3 linked regions of the Neodiprion lecontei genome follow. The main gene of each other region encodes a partner of the protein of the gene in region 2 in a complex. Links are inferred from orthologs where the notes say so. Each region holds a gene or a part of one and is shown on either strand. Other genes may lie near its edges.

The links.
Region 1: transformation/transcription domain-associated protein (region 2) and mortality factor 4-like protein 1 share a complex: the UniProt entries of both Drosophila melanogaster proteins name them as parts of the tip60 chromatin-remodeling complex. The link is inferred for Neodiprion lecontei from reciprocal best matches to the Drosophila melanogaster genes Nipped-A and MRG15.
Region 3: transformation/transcription domain-associated protein (region 2) and vacuolar protein sorting-associated protein 72 homolog share a complex: the UniProt entries of both Drosophila melanogaster proteins name them as parts of the tip60 chromatin-remodeling complex. The link is inferred for Neodiprion lecontei from reciprocal best matches to the Drosophila melanogaster genes Nipped-A and YL-1.

What each region holds. Positions count from the first base shown.
Region 1 is NC_060265.1:18,757,879-18,765,775, forward strand, and holds the start of mortality factor 4-like protein 1, read left to right. Parts: upstream 1-1,848; 5' UTR 1,849-2,074; intron 2,075-2,107; exon of another isoform or gene 2,108-2,254; coding exon of another isoform or gene 2,255-2,273; intron 2,274-3,901; exon of another isoform or gene 3,902-4,465; 5' UTR 4,466-4,931; coding exon 4,932-4,959; intron 4,960-5,033; coding exon 5,034-5,151; intron 5,152-5,970; coding exon 5,971-6,279; intron 6,280-6,377; coding exon 6,378-6,596; intron 6,597-6,875; coding exon 6,876-7,048; intron 7,049-7,586; coding exon 7,587-7,756; 3' UTR 7,757-7,897. Other genes in the region: centrosome-associated zinc finger protein CP190, read right to left, coding at 58-197, 337-504. UniProt on the Drosophila melanogaster protein: Part of the Tip60 chromatin-remodeling complex which is involved in DNA repair. Upon induction of DNA double-strand breaks, this complex acetylates phosphorylated H2AV in nucleosomes and exchanges it with unmodified H2AV.
Region 2 is NC_060263.1:16,848,893-16,853,814, forward strand, and holds the start of transformation/transcription domain-associated protein, read left to right. Parts: upstream 1-1,911; 5' UTR 1,912-2,174; intron 2,175-2,365; coding exon of another isoform or gene 2,366-2,555; intron 2,556-2,654; coding exon of another isoform or gene 2,655-2,813; intron 2,814-2,883; coding exon of another isoform or gene 2,884-3,253; intron 3,254-4,311; coding exon of another isoform or gene 4,312-4,517; intron 4,518-4,576; coding exon of another isoform or gene 4,577-4,723; intron 4,724-4,801; coding exon of another isoform or gene 4,802-4,922. Other genes in the region: NACHT and WD repeat domain-containing protein 2, read right to left, coding at 872-1,024, 2,366-2,555, 2,655-2,813, 2,884-3,253, 4,312-4,517, 4,577-4,723, 4,802-4,922. UniProt on the Drosophila melanogaster protein: Part of the Tip60 chromatin-remodeling complex which is involved in DNA repair. Upon induction of DNA double-strand breaks, this complex acetylates phosphorylated H2AV in nucleosomes and exchanges it with unmodified H2AV.
Region 3 is NC_060260.1:918,687-924,528, forward strand, and holds vacuolar protein sorting-associated protein 72 homolog, read left to right. Parts: upstream 1-1,631; 5' UTR 1,632-1,983; coding exon 1,984-2,117; intron 2,118-2,225; coding exon 2,226-2,446; intron 2,447-2,547; coding exon 2,548-2,730; intron 2,731-2,821; coding exon 2,822-3,056; intron 3,057-3,173; coding exon 3,174-3,410; intron 3,411-3,507; coding exon 3,508-3,739; 3' UTR 3,740-5,237; downstream 5,238-5,842. Other genes in the region: exocyst complex component 3, read left to right, coding at 1-1,481; ras-related protein Rab-11A, read right to left, coding at 5,575-5,711, 5,805-5,842. UniProt on the Drosophila melanogaster protein: Part of the Tip60 chromatin-remodeling complex which is involved in DNA repair. Upon induction of DNA double-strand breaks, this complex acetylates phosphorylated H2AV in nucleosomes and exchanges it with unmodified H2AV.

The sequences.
Region 1 (7,897 bases), on a different chromosome or scaffold from region 2:
CAATGTACTGTTTTCCAAGCCTCTGAAAATCAATGATAAAAATAAAGCATAAGGTACCTGATGATAGACTTGACACACTCATAAGGCATATCCGGTGGCATGACAAGTACACCATCAAAGTTATCATCTTTTTCTTTGAGCTGGCATTCGAGTTGCGTAAAGTAATCTGTGCATGTTGTGATTACTAGACGATGAGCCTGTTAGGATTAATAATAAAAATACTATTGACAGTTGTCAAATCATGTTTTAGAAAGTACCACAAGAAGTAAATGATCCAGCTGCGTCATGAAGTTTGCTAAACTGTTCAATAAGAGTAAATACAAGTAAAATATGTACCTGTACGGTGATGTCACTAGTTGGAAATTTGATTGTAAGGTCTAGTAACTCTTCTTCAAAATAGAGCTGTTGCAATCGCTGGAGAAAAAATGTCCCCCAATTGTCTACTTTCACCTGCTTCAGCCCCCGCGAGGGAAGCTGTTTAACTTGATTCGTGACAGTCTGCATTGTCCAGCGTCTATATTAGATATGTAAAAGGAAAAACAATATCATTGACTTTGATTCTATAAAGATACATATTTATACTTTCAATGGATTTCAAGCTATTTCTTTTCTCTGTGACCATGCATTTATTCACAGTGCTTAAATCGAAAGTATGCCAACTTTGTCTAAAGAAAGTTTAGATTGCACACAAAATTTACACAGTTCTGATCCGACAGTTTAACGAAAATGAAAATTGTCAACAAATACAAAATCAAATTGTATCAAGTTAATCCAGTCGCTGCAAAGGACAAGTGATAAAAAATCATTGTGAAGAGATTTTGTGGACTTTAGTATGAGATTTGAATTTGCAAGTCTACGCGTTACTGTTCTGATATATTGCAAGTTATTGAACATTGAACTATAGTTTAGCTGACTGACAGTGAGAAATAAACCGAAAAACTGATTGTAATTGCAAGATCCTTATCAGTGACATGTATACCTATGTAGGTATTTGCGGATAGAGGAATACAGAACAATCTGAGATTGTTAAACAGAATAAGTTGGTAGAATTGCTGGAATATTGGGCGGTTAGAAATGGAAAAACTCGATTTATCCGGCTGATGGATCTCGCCTAAAGTGAATGTTGGCGAGGTGATACATGTAAATAGGCTCGACCAATTAACCTAATCTACGGAAGGCTAAGTTCCAGGAGAGAATAGCGTATGATGTACAGAACGTATACGTCGCAGGTTTCGAGCGACCAGGGGACGCGTCTGGTCATCCCATTGTGGCCTTTGCTTACGGGGCTTCGGGTTAGTCCCGAATATCTGAGCGGAGTATCTGATTATTCCAGTTGAGGAACGATACCGGAACATTCTTTAGCGTTCAAACGCACGTACCTTTTCAACAGGATTGTAGCAATTCTCCGGTCAGCTCCATCTCTTACAAATTTGCTCAGTAGGCGACTGATATCGAGCTTTTCACTATCGTTCGTGACCCACAGATGGCGCTGTTGTTGGGCTGTCGCGTGCGGCCGGAAATTAAAAATTCACTATCTCTAGCTTCCTTTCTACCCTCACAGGAATATCAAGTAGACTCATAACTAGTAAAAATTATATTTGAAAAATAAGCTTGTTCACCTAAAGTTTTACACTGACTTGTTCGTTTAACCTAATTCACTATTATTCAGATATTTTCATTTGATATTTTCATTTATCTACCAATTTTTATTCACGGTTGTGCGCATCGGAGAAGTGCGCATGAGGTCTGATGCATTGCCACACAATGCGCATGCGTCGATTGCCAATCTTGTATAATGTTGGTATAATATTAATTACCATAGATTAGACGATATTCTGGGCAGTCTGAGCACTCCGACTTACGCTCCGGCTGAAGAATAGTATGCCGGAAGCCAGCGGCAAAACTCACAACCCATGCGATGCTATAAGGCCGAAACAGCGAGTTCCGTTTGCTAAATCACCAACAATTTTAACGTTTACTCACACCCTGATTCTATCGGAGGGGCTTATATTCACTCAGACTTTTAGTGTACAAGTGATTTCGTATGACTTCAAGTGATTCCGGATAATTTCAAGTGATTTCAGATCTTTGCAATACACTACGTCTAATTTTTCCCACTTCGTATGATTTCATGCGATTATATGTGATTTCACGGAATTTCTAATTGTTTTTACATAATTTCATATCGATTTCACACGAATTGGGGTTTAACATTGATTGTAGAATGACTTCGTGACGAGTATGGTAGATTTCCATGCAATTTCGGCTTGTAGGCAAGAGATTTCACGTGGATTTACATATCATAACTGTAATTCTTCTTTTACGTTGTGATGTTTTAAAACTATTTCTGCTCGTTCCATAATATATTACATATTTCGAATTAATTTTATATCCATTATGGCGGATAGGGTGAAAAATCTAGAAAGATCAGAAAACAGAAGTTACAAACTAAAATTTTCGAAGTCGTGAATATCTATGTGACAGAATTTAAAAAAGCAGAAATTAGAAATATGGAAGAGTTAATTAATGTAAAAAGGTCAGAATTCTGACGATTCTATGTTTCGGTTTTGTGTATGGGACATTCTACATCAAATTAACACCGCATGTACCTCACCCCCTTCGATTTGGATCATTTTTTAGTATAATGTTCTTGCCGACCCAAAAGTGTCTCAGATTTTTTTTCAGATTTCTTGAGCCACCCGTGAAATTTAAAGAAAATCTGAGGACCTATTCTGAAACCGCCATTTTAAAAATCTGAAAGTAATCAAACAACACTATTCTTTTTCTATTTTCTAGTTTTTCCATGTCAGAATTGGAATTTTTATTTTTTTGGTCGGGCACAACTTTTTCAAATATGAATGGATTTCAATTTTTCTGGCATTTAGAGAAATGTCAGAAGTCCTGAATACAGTTGATGCCACTGTAATTTTTTATTCGCACTGTCTATAATATGTATATTACACAATCAATACAAAATGCGCTTAATTCTGAACTGCTCTTTCTTTAGACTGTTTTCTTTTTGTTTCCGATCGGAATCCATTACGGAATCATAAAGTTAATGTAATTTTAGTTACAATCTTTCATTTTGAATTTCTCTTCATTGCTTTCAGTTTTTTTCGGTTCACAATTTTGCAAGGCATTGTTTCAATAACTTGCAAAAACAATTAGAATGGCATTAACTGTATTCAGGCCTTTGAGCATTTCTCTAAATTCCAGAAAACTTGAAATTCATTAACATTTGACAAAGTTGTGACCGATAAAAAAAAAAATTTCAATCCCGACATCGAAAAACTAAGTATAGTAAATATTGAGATTCCATTATCGTGTGGTGCTTAAAAAACATATTTTAAATCATAGAATCAGTTTGAATTTTATTCAAACGCGTGGATTATGCGTGGAGTTTTCGTTATTGCGATGCTTGTTCGCTTTTTTTTATTTTATTGTCAGTCCTCCGTAGGGTGGTTTCCTTACTAACAATTAGTAGTTTTTATTTCAGTTTTTTGTTCCATTAGTTGCTTATAATTACCTTCTGGTAGTTTCTGCCTCTTTTCATTACACAATTCTTAATCTCTCTTTTAAAGGGTTCCACAGATTTTTGTCGTACTTCATCTGATGAATCATTACATATTTTATTTTTGATTCAAACAAAATGTACACTTTTTTAACCTGAAAAGCGGGACGACTGTAGCGTATGATTCTCTTTTATACTTTTTTCCGCAAATTACTTATCCCGTTTTTCGGAGTTTCTCTCTTCTTTCTCAATTTTGAACTAATTCTTACTGCATTATTATAAATTTTAAATAATATTATAGTTTTTGGAAGAATAAAATTATGACACATCCGCATAATAGAAAAAATGATGATTTTTTATACAAAAAATGCTTTTATCCGTTTACAGAGTGTTCAGCGACCAGGAATTCCTGGAAAACCGAGAATTATACGGGAATTTGAAATTGCCCTTAAAAATGCCAGAAATATACGGCAATTTCATATAGCAGCCGGGAAGTTTTTCATTAAATTGAATTTGCATAAAATTTCGTCCTAGGTCTAGTAATGAGATCCCTGACTCAACTTATTTCACATTAAGGGAATGTCCTGGTCCATTGCGACGCTGAATTATATATATACATATATTGCAGTCGACGTACCTCAACCGCGAAAAAGGACTCAACACTCCCTTCTTATAGACAATTCTGAACAAAACTACTTCAATACATTTTCATTTGACGCAGAAATAAAGAAATGGCATGTACTCCACAAATTTACTGTAGCGATTTTACAGAAAGCATCCCATCCCTTTATTTGTGCGTCAAATGAAAATGTATTGAAGTATTTTTGTTCAAAATTGCATATAGAGTAGGGCAGTTTAACCCTTTTCCCTGGACCTCGTTATTTGGCGATATCGGCCAGAGCACCCCCTTAAAGACGGTTACCCTAATGGAGTACTTTGTGTTTGTCAATGAAGAAGCTGACGGAACTTATCCGACGAGTACCGGTCGCAGTCATAAAAATTTGCCCAGGGGTCACCGTACTTAAATTCTTCAGTCAACGTTCTGTATGACTCATCGTCCTGTTTACCTGTGAAAGACTACCATCTCCGTCGGACCTCGAGCGTGTCGTATATTGTGAGACTCCACAGAAGCAAACAAAGTGTAGCATTCTTGTATAATACTGTTGCGATTGATTTACTCTCTTCACGAATCCAGATTCAGCCTTGCCATCACGCTGGAGACACGGATTGTATAGTTGTGTGAGGTTGATATCAGTTACGCAGAGTACGACCGAGAGAGCGTCAGGCGTCTGTCATAAGCGTCTTGTGCCCTAACCTATAAATTTGATCGTCGGCTATCAAAAACGATTTGTTTATTTATTTTATCAAACAAAAATAAACTGGGGGGAATCAAGTAGAGTGTAAAAAGATCAAAAACAAAATGCCACCGAAGTGTAAATTTCAAGAAGGTGTGGTAATTGTAATTATTTGTACTCAAATTGGCGATAGTTGAATCCATAATTATTATACCATTGGATTTCAGGAGAAAAAGTACTCTGTTTTCACGGACCATTAATATACGAAGCCAAATGCCTGAAGTCTTCGGTTACCAAGGAGAAACAGATTAAATATCTGATACACTATGCGGGTTGGAACAAAAAGTAAGTAACCGTTTATTCTTATTTTCTGAACTCTACCACGGTTCGCGTGTATTTGCAAGAATACAGGTTATAACAAATGTTAAGCATTGTTTTGTAGAATCATTTAAACACAATCTTCAATCTCTTTCCTAATATTTGTTCATTTGGTTGTTGAATTATTGAAACTATCAAAATCCAGTAAATGGGTGGACTTTTCTTAAGTGGTTACATGTTCATATGCCCATTTTCCTCATTTAATAAACCTGGATAGTTCATACGCTCCAAAATTTGGAAGTTAATTACATTACAATTTCTAAAAACCAGCAAAAATTTACCAGCACTTATTGAATTATAGGACAGTATTTACTTTTTTGTGCAAAGTATTCTCTACCACTATCTGAATGTGATATCACTGTGCTTATGTAATGGGTAATTAAATAATAAATCATAATCATTAATAAACAAGCATTTTTTGAGATGAGGATACTTGAATTTGATGTATTTTGTGTTTTTGCATTTGATATATCGCGTTTTGCGCAGATGTATACTGCAACTGGTTTTCTTATTACCATATTGTTAAAACATTCTTATTTACCTTAAATGTCGGAAACATTCTTACCTAACTTTTAATGCGAGATTGCCATTCCAGGTAAATATAAAAAAATAATTTCACAAATGCAGTTTTATACCTTACATTCAGGGTTGATTTATATTGAGAACAATACAGTATTACTTTTAGTATGAAACCTGATACATTAGTCTTTTATCATATCCTAGATACTACTGTAATGGAGTAAAGTCACAAATTACATAAGGGGACGGATGACTGTTTACTTTTAGTTGGGATGAATGGGTGCCAGAGAGTCGAGTGCTGAAGTACAACGAGTCGAATGTACAAAAACAAAGAGAAGTGCAACGTGCCCATTCAACTCAGCAGCCTTCGCACAAAGGTAAAAAGACTGGGACCACTACTAAAGCCCAAGGGCGTAGAAGTGAGAGTGGCAGAGACAAAGATAGTGAAAGTCGGGCAAGTACTCCTGTTGGAATAGCTGAGAAGACGGGGGGCCGGTCTATCAAAGGGCTTGGCGGGGGTGCTACACCGTCATCGTCCCATGATTCGTCGTCTGATGCACCGCGCAAAAAAAGAAGGTTCTTACTTCTCTTCACTCTCTATAACAACAAGTGACTAGATTGGTAAAAGTTTTGTAGTATTGTTAATAGAATCAAACTGATTCATTTATATTCAGCCGCGTTGATCCTTCTGTGGAAACGGAGGAGCAGTTCTTAACAAAAGTTGAGGTGAAGGTTAAAATGCCTGATGAGCTGAAGCCGTGGCTTGTCGATGATTGGGATGCTATTAGCAGGCAACGCAAACTGGCAATACTACCTGCAAGGAATACAGTCGATCGTATTTTGGACGATTACGTCAAATTTAAGACATCTAGTAAAACCAACAACCCCAATAAGTATGTAAATGTTCAGTTTTAATTGAAAAATTTATGACCAACTAGAGTTTGCTCAGACCTCACTCTACTCAGTTTAAAAGTCCATTACTCCGCTCCAGGAAGTCATAGCCGCATAAACCATGGACCTGAGTGGAATGGCACCAAATTGAGTTTTGGGACCATTGCATAACACACAGACATACGAACTGACAACGCAAATACGTTTTAACTTCTTTTCTACTAATAGTTTAAATAATAGCTCGGACAGAAACATTATTTTTCATACTAATTTTTCTGCAGAGAAAGCGCTGTTCTAGAAGTGACAAAAGGCGTGCGGGAGTATTTCAATGTGATGTTAGGTACGCAATTACTTTATCGATGGGAACGTCAACAATACAGTGAAGTAATGACTGAAAATCCAGACTCAACTCCCAGTCAAATATACGGAGCTTTCCACCTACTCAGGCTATTTGGTAAGCGACAAATTTATTCTCAAGTCTTGTATTGGATTCAAAGTAGCACATATCGTTTCAGAAAATGATTTGGTTAAAAATATTAATCATAACAAACCTAGTGAATTTCATAATTAATGAAAGTGCAATTTTTTCAATGAGAAAAATTAACGGACGACCAGGAGAATCTACCCTGGGACCAGTGGAGGCCTATACCTGGACTTATACCCACTGGACCACCAGGTTTCCTCGCTACTGTCACGTTAATCCTTCTCATCTACTGTCTTGAATTAATTGCATATATATTCTTGACTAGTCAAAATAGAAAAAAAAAATCTAAAAGCAGCATACGCTAGTAGTTGTAAATAAAACTCGTGTAATAGGCCGCAGTATGCAATACAAACCATGCTTTGTGTTAGCCACCGATACCTTGCAAGCAAGATACGTGCATACGACTTCGCCTAACGAGTATGAGTGCGATGTAGTCAATAATATCATATATATAATGTGAATTTAATTTGAGTAAATTTCAAAGTACTCTAATAATTTCATCCTACAGTGAAACTTGGCAGTATGTTATCTTACACACCTCTCGACGAGAGAAGTATTCAGTTACTTTTGGCGCACATACACGACTTTTTGAGATACTTGCATAAGAATAGCAGCGACTTATTCAGTCTTCAAGATTACGGAGCAGCACCACCGGAATATCACCGTAAATGCAATTAAGTTGAATTATGCAACATTTATATTAAAATGTCAGCAAAATGAGCCAATGCATCCATTTTACCGCTTATTATAATCACTGTCAAACTGCATTGTCCCTCTTGTATTTACTATGCAATTACCATAATATTTTCCTCTTTCTCT
Region 2 (4,922 bases):
TGAATGTCTTGTGGAAGTAAAATGCGATCGATCAAGAGTCTCTCCTGAAATCTTAATGCAAATATACATATAAGAAAATCTGGAACTGAAGTTTTTGTTATTTTTTTTTGTTGGATAATATATATATAGATATACATATATATTTATTTGTAAAACATTATTAAAGAGAAAGAGAGCATATAGTGTGTTGTCACGTAAAATTTAAATTAATTATAAATAGTATCTTTGTATTGCAGAACGGTTGTTTTGTTGTGAATATTTTTTTTCCGCTACATTTTGTTTCTTCAAATGCATTGATCTGAACCCACATCATCGATTCAATTACGCAGCTACACCGAGTTATATCCTGCGACATTGTCATCAGCCGTTGTCGCCGTCTTTGTCATCCTTATTAAAATGCAAGGTTATTACATGTACCAAGGCGAATGGCAAAATATTTACGAAGTGTAAACATTTGAAATATTGAAGTTTGAAGGAAGCGTGAAAAAGTGAGAGAAAGTGAAAGAGAGAATTAGAATAAATAAATGAAAAAATAAACAAATAATTATACAAATTCGATATTCGCTAAAAGACAGAAATAAATATTACTATAAATTCCGTATTTCATGTCTTAAAATTACAATTGCATTTTCGTTTCTTTCCCTTAGCATATTGTATATAATTTATGAATGTCTATAAATTCATCTCAATATATCAACGATTATAATAATTTATCAGTTTGCCAATAATATGTATATTATCTATGCTCAACTCTTAGCTTGAAAATTATGCACCAGGCATAACACGCCAATATAAGTTTTGCTACAAGCCAGGTATTCTCATTGCCGATAACTAGATGGAACGAGTACGAATCATATAATTGTAAGGCAGCCTACTGATCCGCCTCTTCATCAGTTGCATCGTTTTCCTCGACAAATGCATTGTTCTTCCTCACAACGTGCACTAGATCGTGCGTTACCCTCGCTATTCTAGCCGCCGCCTTGAATTTTGTCGCTGCTCGCTGCTTCTCCATCTTCTTTTTCCACTGAAAGTAAAAATTACATAATTAATAATATACAGGTTGGCTGTACACATGATTTGAATTTAATTTCGTTTCGCGGTTTTGAAGACGCGCAACTCGAAATGAGATATATGTATATGTATATATATATATATATATATATACGCATATTATACTCTTTGGCGGAACGAAGTTACCGACCGTACGGTCAGGACCGTATTTGTACGGTAATTTCGCCTCCTATACGGACACGCTAAATGTACAGTCATGGAAAAATTTTAGGAATTTAGGTCATTTTTTGGCTAGCCTCTGATATTGTAAAAGAATCAAGTACAGAAGTATAAACGGTCTCAGTAATTCACATTCCTGGTTATATTAGTTCAATTATTCTCCAAGACTCCAGCAACTGCTTCGTGTAATTGAAAAATTCACAACCTTTAGCGTTAGTGTGAAATATTTTTGAACGTAAAACTAACAATAATGTGGTTGAAACTTATCTGGTCCTTGAGAAAAGAAGCAACATTGTGGCAATTGTACGACCATAAAATATAAAGAACAAAAATGTACTCCGCGAAATCTTTGTACGGTCCTGAAATTTCAAAGTACGATTCATTTTCACATCGAGTACGACTTGTCGCCACCAGAGGGTTGCCAACACTGGGCCGGGAGCATAGACTTATAAAGATAGACTTAGCGCGCTTATGAGCCGCTTGAAGGCGGTAGAGGAGAATGAGGCGAAATTATACCCCTATATCTATAGCTGTTCCACTTCCACTGCTCCGTTGTCTTCCACCACGACGCCGATTGAAAAGCGAGAGCAGTACTCCCGGTATATCTCTGTCCTTTATATGTAATTGTCAGTGCCTCTTATAGGAACGCTCAGTCTATCGTTATAAGTCTATGGCCGGGAGGCGAACGAAGCAGATGGAAGATGCGAGTGCAAGTTATGTCGCACAATTTCGCGGCGTTCGGAGCCTGTACGGTATATTTGCGTTTTTATGTTCAATAAACAAACAAACATAGTGCGGAAAAGTAGACAATTGTGTTGTGCGATGTGAATTCGCTTGTGAAGGTGTGAACGAAATGTTTCGGAAGTACGAGAGACTTTCAACTATGTGAAAGGAGTTACCGAGATCGAGGTTAGGGTCTGCCGTGCGTCATCATACCGAAGAAGGTTAGTAACTATGTTATGTCGCTTCATTTCACCCACGATTCAATCCGAATTTTCACCCCTGCTCAATCTCCGATCTCGCGACGAATATTATAACACCTTTTTGTATATTCTAACTTCATCTCGCAATTTTTTTCTCCGTCGCGTTCATAACCTCTAATAAACATGCGCTTTTCTTTATCATCTCGTTTCACCTGCTCGTCTCGCGACGGTAAGTTCAACAAGTAATCCTTCATTTCTGGTTTCTGCGGGTCTGCGATTGCCAGCACCGATACACATCCATCAACGGTCCCCAGTACTATGCTTTTTCCATCGTACGTGCTGTCGATTGCGCTCAATTCTGCTTGGACTCTGTAGTTGGCTATCATCTCGCAGTCTGAAGATCTGTGGGAATAAAAATGGAATTAAAGCATTATTTATTGTTGAAGTAAATCATCTTGTTATGTATTTGTCAGAACTATTACTTTTGAATGGTTTCTTTACCTGAATACTCTAATTGTTTTGCGACCACTGTGATAGTAGAGTACGTAGTCATCCGTTCTGTTGAACATTGAAATGACGGTGAAAACACCCTCAGCAACTTTTGGTATGTAGGTCTTGACGGTAGTTCCTTTCTTCAGTTCGATGAGATCGAGACCACCCCTGTTTAAAATAAAAATTACATAAACTGCCACGAGATAAGGAATTGGTAATTGAACTACAAATTTTTTACCTGCTGGGAGCATATAAAGTGTGTTTGCCATCCTTGCTGATATTCCCGCTCCACTTGGGCACCGATCTGATGATTTTCTTCTTGTTTATGTCCATGATGCTTCCTTTATCCGAGCCGATTATACCAACCCAATGCGCACGGTGTGGCATTGGTACTATGCTTGTTATGTCTTTGAGTCCCGGTATTTTAACCGGTATTCTATTGACCAGGACCCCTGTTTTTGCGTTGTAAACAATCACACAGTCTCGGTTACCTTTGTCAGCTGCCGGTACGACTAGGTTCGCACCATCCGAGGTCAGAACAGCTTGTCTGAACGGTACTCCTGTTTGACTTTTCACTGGATATTCCAACGAGAACATTGTTCTTCCATCTATTGAGTAGAGTTAAAATTAGTTTCAATTTGGTTCCTTATACACTGGATGTAGTAGACTTTACACGCTGATCTTTGTGAACCTAGCACCCGACTTGAAAAAACCTAACTATTTTTTTGTTGATTCTTGTAGGTTTTTGTAGGTAGTTGTTTGTAGTAAGAATGATTTCGTTTGTAGTAGCGCCAAAAAAAAATATAAGGGGTTGAAAAAATGTCTGCACCCCATTTTGAAAAAAATCGAATTTGTCGGTAGTTTTCCGTACAGAATCGTTTGTAGTTGATTGTAGTGAAGATATTTTACTTTGTAGTAAAAAGGAAAGAAAAATACATTTTTTTTTTTTTTTTTTTATTTATAGCTAGAATTTCTGTGGCCCTGCTGTCAACTAATGTTTCGGAATCTTTTGCAGTTGTTTGTAGTACAATTTTTTTCGTTTAAAATTCCTCCAAAATTTACTACAAACGTCCTACTCGCTTCGGAAACGTTTGTAGTTGTTTGTAGTACTGATTTTTTCGTTTGTAGTTCCTTGGAAATTTACTACAAACATCCTACTCGCTTCAGAATCGTTTGTAGTCGTTTGTAGTACCGATTTTTTCGTTCGTAGTTCCTTGGGAATTTACTACAAACGTCCTACTCGCTTCAATATCGTTTGTAGTTGTTTGTAGTACCATTTTTTTTGAGGAATTTTAAACGAAAAAAATTGTACTACAAACAAATACAAAAGATTCCGAAACATTAGTTGACAGCAGGGCCACAGAAATTCTAGCTAAAAAAAAACAAACTATTTTTCTTTCCTTTTTACTACAAACGAAAATATCTTCACTACAATCAACTACAAACGATTCTGTACGGAAAACTATCGATAAATTCGATTTTTTTCAAAATGGGGTGCTGACATTTTTTCAACCCCTTATATTTTTTTTTTTTTGCGCTACTACAACCGAAATCATTGTTACTACAAACAACTACCTACAAAAACCTACAAGAATCAACAAAAAATAGTTAGGTTTTTTCAAGTCGGGTGCTAGGTTCACATAGGTTACACGCTGTTTTCGATTACCTGGAATATTTCTGACGACAAGAGTAGCCGTTGTTCTAACGCTTTCAACGCCCGGAGGATTGCTCGGTCTTGATACAGCCAGGAATTTGCTGGTCTCAGGAATCAGCGTAAGCTGGCGTACGCCTGGCTGCTCTTCCTTAAATAAGACTTGTTCTGTTATTCTGTTCCATATCAAAACGTTTCCAGACTCGGTGGAGATGATATACCTGAAAATTTTTCCAAGGTATTATCACATCTTTGACAGTGGTATATATAGTCTACCCACTTTCCATTGTGTGTGATGCAGGCATGAGTCACTATCGCTCCCAGTGGGCTGTCAGCCAATTTGGAAATCAGACGTCCTGATTGGAGATTCCAAATCCCAACGCAGCCTCTGGTGACTGTAGCAGCCAAGTTGCAGTGCTCCGCAAGGCTGTTGGTGTATTAAAATGATGTTACATAGGTTTAAGTGAATATTTAGGGTCAGAGGGATGTTGAAGATTATTGTCACCTGATCGAGTCTATCTGTAGCTCGTGTCTGTCGATAACGTGAACCTGTTCGAATATATTGTTGATATTCCAAACCTTCACGCTTCTGTCTATACTCGATGTTATAACGCTGTTCCAATTAC
Region 3 (5,842 bases), on a different chromosome or scaffold from region 2:
AGAAATCTGTGGCCAACAGAGTCGAGGGAACTCATGTAGATGAACGAGCAGACAATAAAATGTGGCTGGCAAGGTATCTGGAATTGGCACGTCTCCTCATCCTCGAGGACCTAAGGGTGGTAAAAACACTGTGCGGACCTTGCTTCCCACCCTCTTACAACATAGTCAGGAAGTTTGTAGAGATGTACCATAACAGTCTATCTCAACACTTGAAAGACATAATAGCAAATGGCCTAGAGGGTAACGAATACGTATCTCTGCTTGCCTGGATAATGAACACTTATACAGGTGTAGAACTAATGCAACACCCGGAGCTGAACATCGACACCAGTGATATAGGACCTTTGCTGAGCAACGAGGTCCTGGAGGAACTGCAGGATCAATACTTGAAGAACATGCAACAGAACTATGAAGAATGGATGAAGAAGACATTGGAAACTGAAAAGGTTGACTGGTGGAGCGGAGTACTGCCAGAAGGTAGTACGCAAGAAACCTATTACCACACGGCAGCACCGGTAATCATATTTCAAATGGTGGATCAGAATCTCCAAGTAACGAAAACGATCAGCAATCAACTAACTGCCAGAGCGCTTGTCCTTTGTATAGACCAAGTTGTGAGATACTGTGCGGCGTATCGTCAGGCCATACTTGAGTTCAAAAGCAAACATTTCGAGGATCGGAGCAGAGTTCCTTACTTCACTCACCACATGATCACCATTGTAAACAATTGCCTTCAGTTTATTGAACTCGCTCAGCAAATGAAACAACTTTACTGGGTTTCCAATGCCAGCGGTGATGCTGCTGTCAGGTTTGAGGCTCTCCTGGCCAATTACCAACAGCTGAGAGATGAGGCGGCGACCATTTTATTGGAGGAGTCGTTCCTAGACTTGGAACTCCACTTCCAAGATCTCCTCACCCCAAAATGGCTCTCCTCGCCGATACCCGTAGAAACGATCTGCGTAACCTTGGAGGACTATTTTCAGGACTATAATCACCTTAGAGTAAAGAATTTTGAATATGTCATTACAGAGGCTCAAAATCTGATAGCTAAACGATATATAGCAGCTATGCTGCAGCGAAAGATATCGCTAAAGACGTACGACGAATGTCTCACTTGCACATCAAAAATTATGACAGAGGCTGATAAGATAAAGAATTTTTTCGTCAGAATTGCACCCAAAGTGGGCAACTTTGATTCGCCTTTCGAAGTAATAAAAAGACTGGCCGAAGTACTGCGTTGCGAGGATTCTGAAATTTTATCTTTGGATCTACATTCACTCGTTGAAAAATACCCTGACATGACCGAAGATCATCTCGTACGATTGTTGAGTCTCCGAGGAGACATACCGAGAGCTACAGCTAGGGAAAAAGTAGCGTACATATACGAAGCTCAACGTAATCGAACAGCTCCACAGCCCATGCCTAATAGTATATTTAAGCAAATTGTCATCCAGGATAGTTTCTTAAATTGGAAACCCTGAGTACTGTAAATAAATAATTTTTCGTCTTGTATAGAAATTTGTCTAGTTATTAAAAATGGGAAAGGTTTTTCGGTTCACTTCTATATCCCACTCCACAGAGCTAGCTGTACGGGCATTTCTGTCAGAAATTGTGCTCTGCATGTTCAGCCAATAAGTATACATTCAGCAATGTCGGCAAAATTTTCTTCAATCAAACGTGTTATCATTTGTAGCTGACGTCACAATTCGAAACGTCTTAATTCTATTCTGAAAAAAAAATTACACTCGAATATAGAAGGTTCGTTGTTTTTCAGTTTGAAAAAAAAACAGTCGTCTGACAGTTGCGCACAGCCACGCGTTTGGCGAGAACACGAAAGTGTGATCTAACCTCAAAAACCCACGTCAATAGTGGCTTGAGCCTCACAGGCATCACTGAATCAAAGATCTTCTCCTCGAATGAACAATAATTAATAAGAAAGTGAACTATTGAATCAATCGTGCTGTCAAAAAACATTTCTCTACGATGGCATCGACGAGAGAGAGACGTTCCAATGCTGGGAATAAAATGGCAAGATTACTCAACGAAGAAGAAGAGGATGATTTCTATAAAACTACATACGGAGGGTTCGAAGAAGTCGAGCAGGATAACGATTACATGTTAGTTAGATGAGAATTTCAATTGACAAACATTCTGTTTAATATTTCCATAAAATTAGTATTTCACTCACAGAATAATACTTCATTGTAATGTTGTTGAATACTCAGGGAAGAGGACGAAGGCGAGGATGAAGTGGACTCAGATTTTAGTATAGACGAAAATGACGAGCCTGTTTCCGATCCCGAACAAGAAGGACCCAAAAAAAAACGACGCCTTGTTACAAAGGCATACAAAGAGCCTAAACCTACCTCAGCACACTCACATTCTACTCCTAAAGAGAAAAAGACTAAGACACCCAGGCAACGTCGAACTTCTATTGACAATTCAGGTATATCAGGAAATATCAATGGCGATAAACGTGATCATAGCCATTCGATCAGCAGTATTTATAGCCTCATGCCAAACTACTATCCCCGTTTCGTTTTAAAGAGAGAAAATCCATTCGTCGTTCTACTGCTGCAAAGTCGGCAGCGACCCAAAGACGACTCAAAGAGAGAAATGAGGATCTGAAGAGAAAAGTTAAGACTGTAAAGTACGACGTTTGGAAGCCAACGCAGGAAGAACTGTTGGAGGAAGCCCTCATCACGGAGGAAGTAAATTTAAAATCATTAGGTAATGAATAATACTGCTGGCAAGTAAAAAGACATGATTGTCTGTGCCGATGGATGGTTATTCAACTCATACTTTTAACATGTTTTGACAGAAAAATACCAAAAGTTAGAGAACGAGAAGAAAAACACGAGGACAGTGCGAAAGACAAATGTTGGCCCCATTATACGTTACCAATCTTTGTCTATGCCTGTTTTGATGCTGTCTGAAACACAAGCTGACAAAGATGAGGAAAAAATTAACGTCGAAGCTGACGATGAAAAAAATACCACTAATACAACCAGTGATATTCTAGAACCTGGATTATCACCTCCCTTGTCTGAAAAACAGTGAGACTTAAATTGGTCGTTATTTGTGTAAAGCCTTTTGCAATATGCAGACCGCAATAAAAAACAAAAACGTCCATAACTGCCGTAGTTCTAACTACTTTCAAAATTATTTTTCAGAGAAATAATGGATCAACAAAAAACTATTGACGGCGGTAACAAAGATACACCTATTAAACAGAAGGGAGAATCGAGCTCAGCTCCTAATGAAGCTGAAAGTCAAATCATTCATGAAGATACAGGTTCTAAATACGAAAGAACTTTCATCACATTTGAAAACGAACGACTTTTTACGGAAGCTTTCAAACGTACACCTGCTCCTCGCCCCTCACTAAAATCTCTTTGTGCAATTACAAGGTAAGTTACGGCCTTTCGACATTGATGTATTACTCCTGAAGGTGATTACTTTGAAATAATCAGGTACTAATACACTATATTTTCTGAATGATTTTAGACTTCCTGCACGGTATATGGATCCAGTGACACAGCTACCGTACAGAAATATACAAATGTTTAGAATATTAAGAGAGGCGTATTATCAACAGCTGGAATCTCGTGCAGAGACAAACGATGCTACTCAAAACCTTGAATTGGTACGGTGGCTTGAATGGCGTCAGAAAAATCGTCGCAATAATAACAGAAATACGATTCGTCTGGAACCCGCTTCAGTGTCGCAGGCATCTTAGCTGATCCTTCTGGTCAATCGCTATTCCTTGTAGCATTGAACAGTCTTTTGTCACATCATTTGACATGACACTGGATAATTATTTTATCAAATGCCTGCTTCAGTATTTTCATACGAAAATGAGAATGAAAATCGAAAAAATCGAAGCAATTTACACCACTTTCCCTTTCGAAAATATGGAAATTGCTTCTACTCTGTTGGGTAGATGACTTCCTTCGAGGGATTTTAAGAATTGGGATTGGATTAAAAAATATCTATTTTTTAAACGAACGGAACGAGTTTCAATGGTTTTTATTGTTTTTTTTTTTTTTCTTTTTTTTTAATAAAGCTTTGCCACTTCACATTAACTAGTAGAATAAGTTAAAGTTTTTTTGTTTTCATATTCTTTATTGCTAAAATGCAAATTTATCATTTACCTACATGGATTTAATCAGGAAACCACAATCAGCACTAAGACGTTTTCTATTTGATACAACGAAAGAGACGTCTTTATTTCAATATGAATAAAATTAAATGTGTAGAAAAAAAAAATTAGGTATGTAATTGTAATTAATAATAAGGTTAGTAAATTACGCATATCATAAGGTTTTCATAACAGTGTGTTTAATTTTTTAATTTTTTCTTTCTCAAGATTTTTTTCCTTCATTTCTTCTAAAGCATGTTTTGTATAGTAATTAGGAGTTGTTAATCTCTCGTGTAGTGCGCGAAGCCTAGACATTTCAAGTTCCACAACGTGTTGTTCGCTGTTGCCTTTGCTTCGATTTATTTCATTCAGTTCCAAGTCATTCTATTTTACGACAAAGATGGTTCTCGCAATCTGCAACGCGTCTACACGCGTATCAAACCAATCAATCATTTATCTGTACATGCTCAAAATGTCTTCCTGGTCGCAATCTTAAATTAAATTTAAATGTCTACGTGAAATTGTTTATTATTTTTTTACCTTTGTTTTTTCATTTTTTAAATTAATATTTCACACGTTTTTCTGGACACGAAGCTGTTTGTAAAAAATAAAGTCGAAAAGCATACAGTTTAGTGCTTGCGCGTATCATTTTATTTTAATTCTACTACGTGCGCGCGAGAGCAAGTAGTGATCAACATGGAGTCATTCCCATCTTCGTCGTTTCGTCTTTATTGATATTTAGTATTTTCATTACGACGTCTGCTCTGCACAATTATCATTGTAATTGTGTTATTATTTATAAATTGTTTATAGTATATGTACTCGTGATCATCACACTATGCGTAGAGAAGAATAATTATATATGTATTACAAAGAAGCGGTAATACAACATTTAATTATCATAACGTAATATATATATATATATACATACATATATGTATAATAGTGTAGATATATATGTGTATATATATGTATATGTATAGTAGTAAATAAGACAAATTTGAATAGAGGGCAGAATGGTGTGCCGGCCACGGTGAATTCTTTATCTTGTACGTCGCTTTTTCGGGAGAATTGAATCTTTTTCTGCCATTTAAACCAACAGACCAAAAAAAGATCTTCTACACCTATACAAGATCGAAAATATAGTCTTAGTCCGCGTCCTACCACGCATCCGCTGTACCTACCACCAGTCACCACTCTCTCCCTCCAGCCCACCATGTAACCGCTTCTGAAAAATTGGAATGATATCAGAACGCTCCAGAAAGTAAGAGGAAACAGGAGAAAAACGTCCTTAAATTAGTAAAATGTAAGCTTTTGAATAGTTTGTGTCAGGTAATGGTTGGAAATTAATCAGATAAAGAATAATTAAATAACGAATGACCATAATAGAATCAATTTCACAGCGCCACTCACATAGAAAGCAGTAAGGCGAGTCACTGGCAACACTGCTTGCGCATTCCGTCAGCATTCATCGTCGGTTTAACGTCGATTGGCTCTACGTTTTGCGGCCGGATAGTGTCACCTTCGGGAGGATCTCTAATTTGTTTCTGAGAAACGATTCTGTAGATTTCTGAAGAGTTGAAAGAATGTATAAGGAAACGTAAGACGATTATAAGTTTTCAAAATTTCGTATTAAATTGAAACTGAATTCTTGTCATGTTACCTGTTAAGATATTCTGGAAAGCGAGTTCAACATTGGTC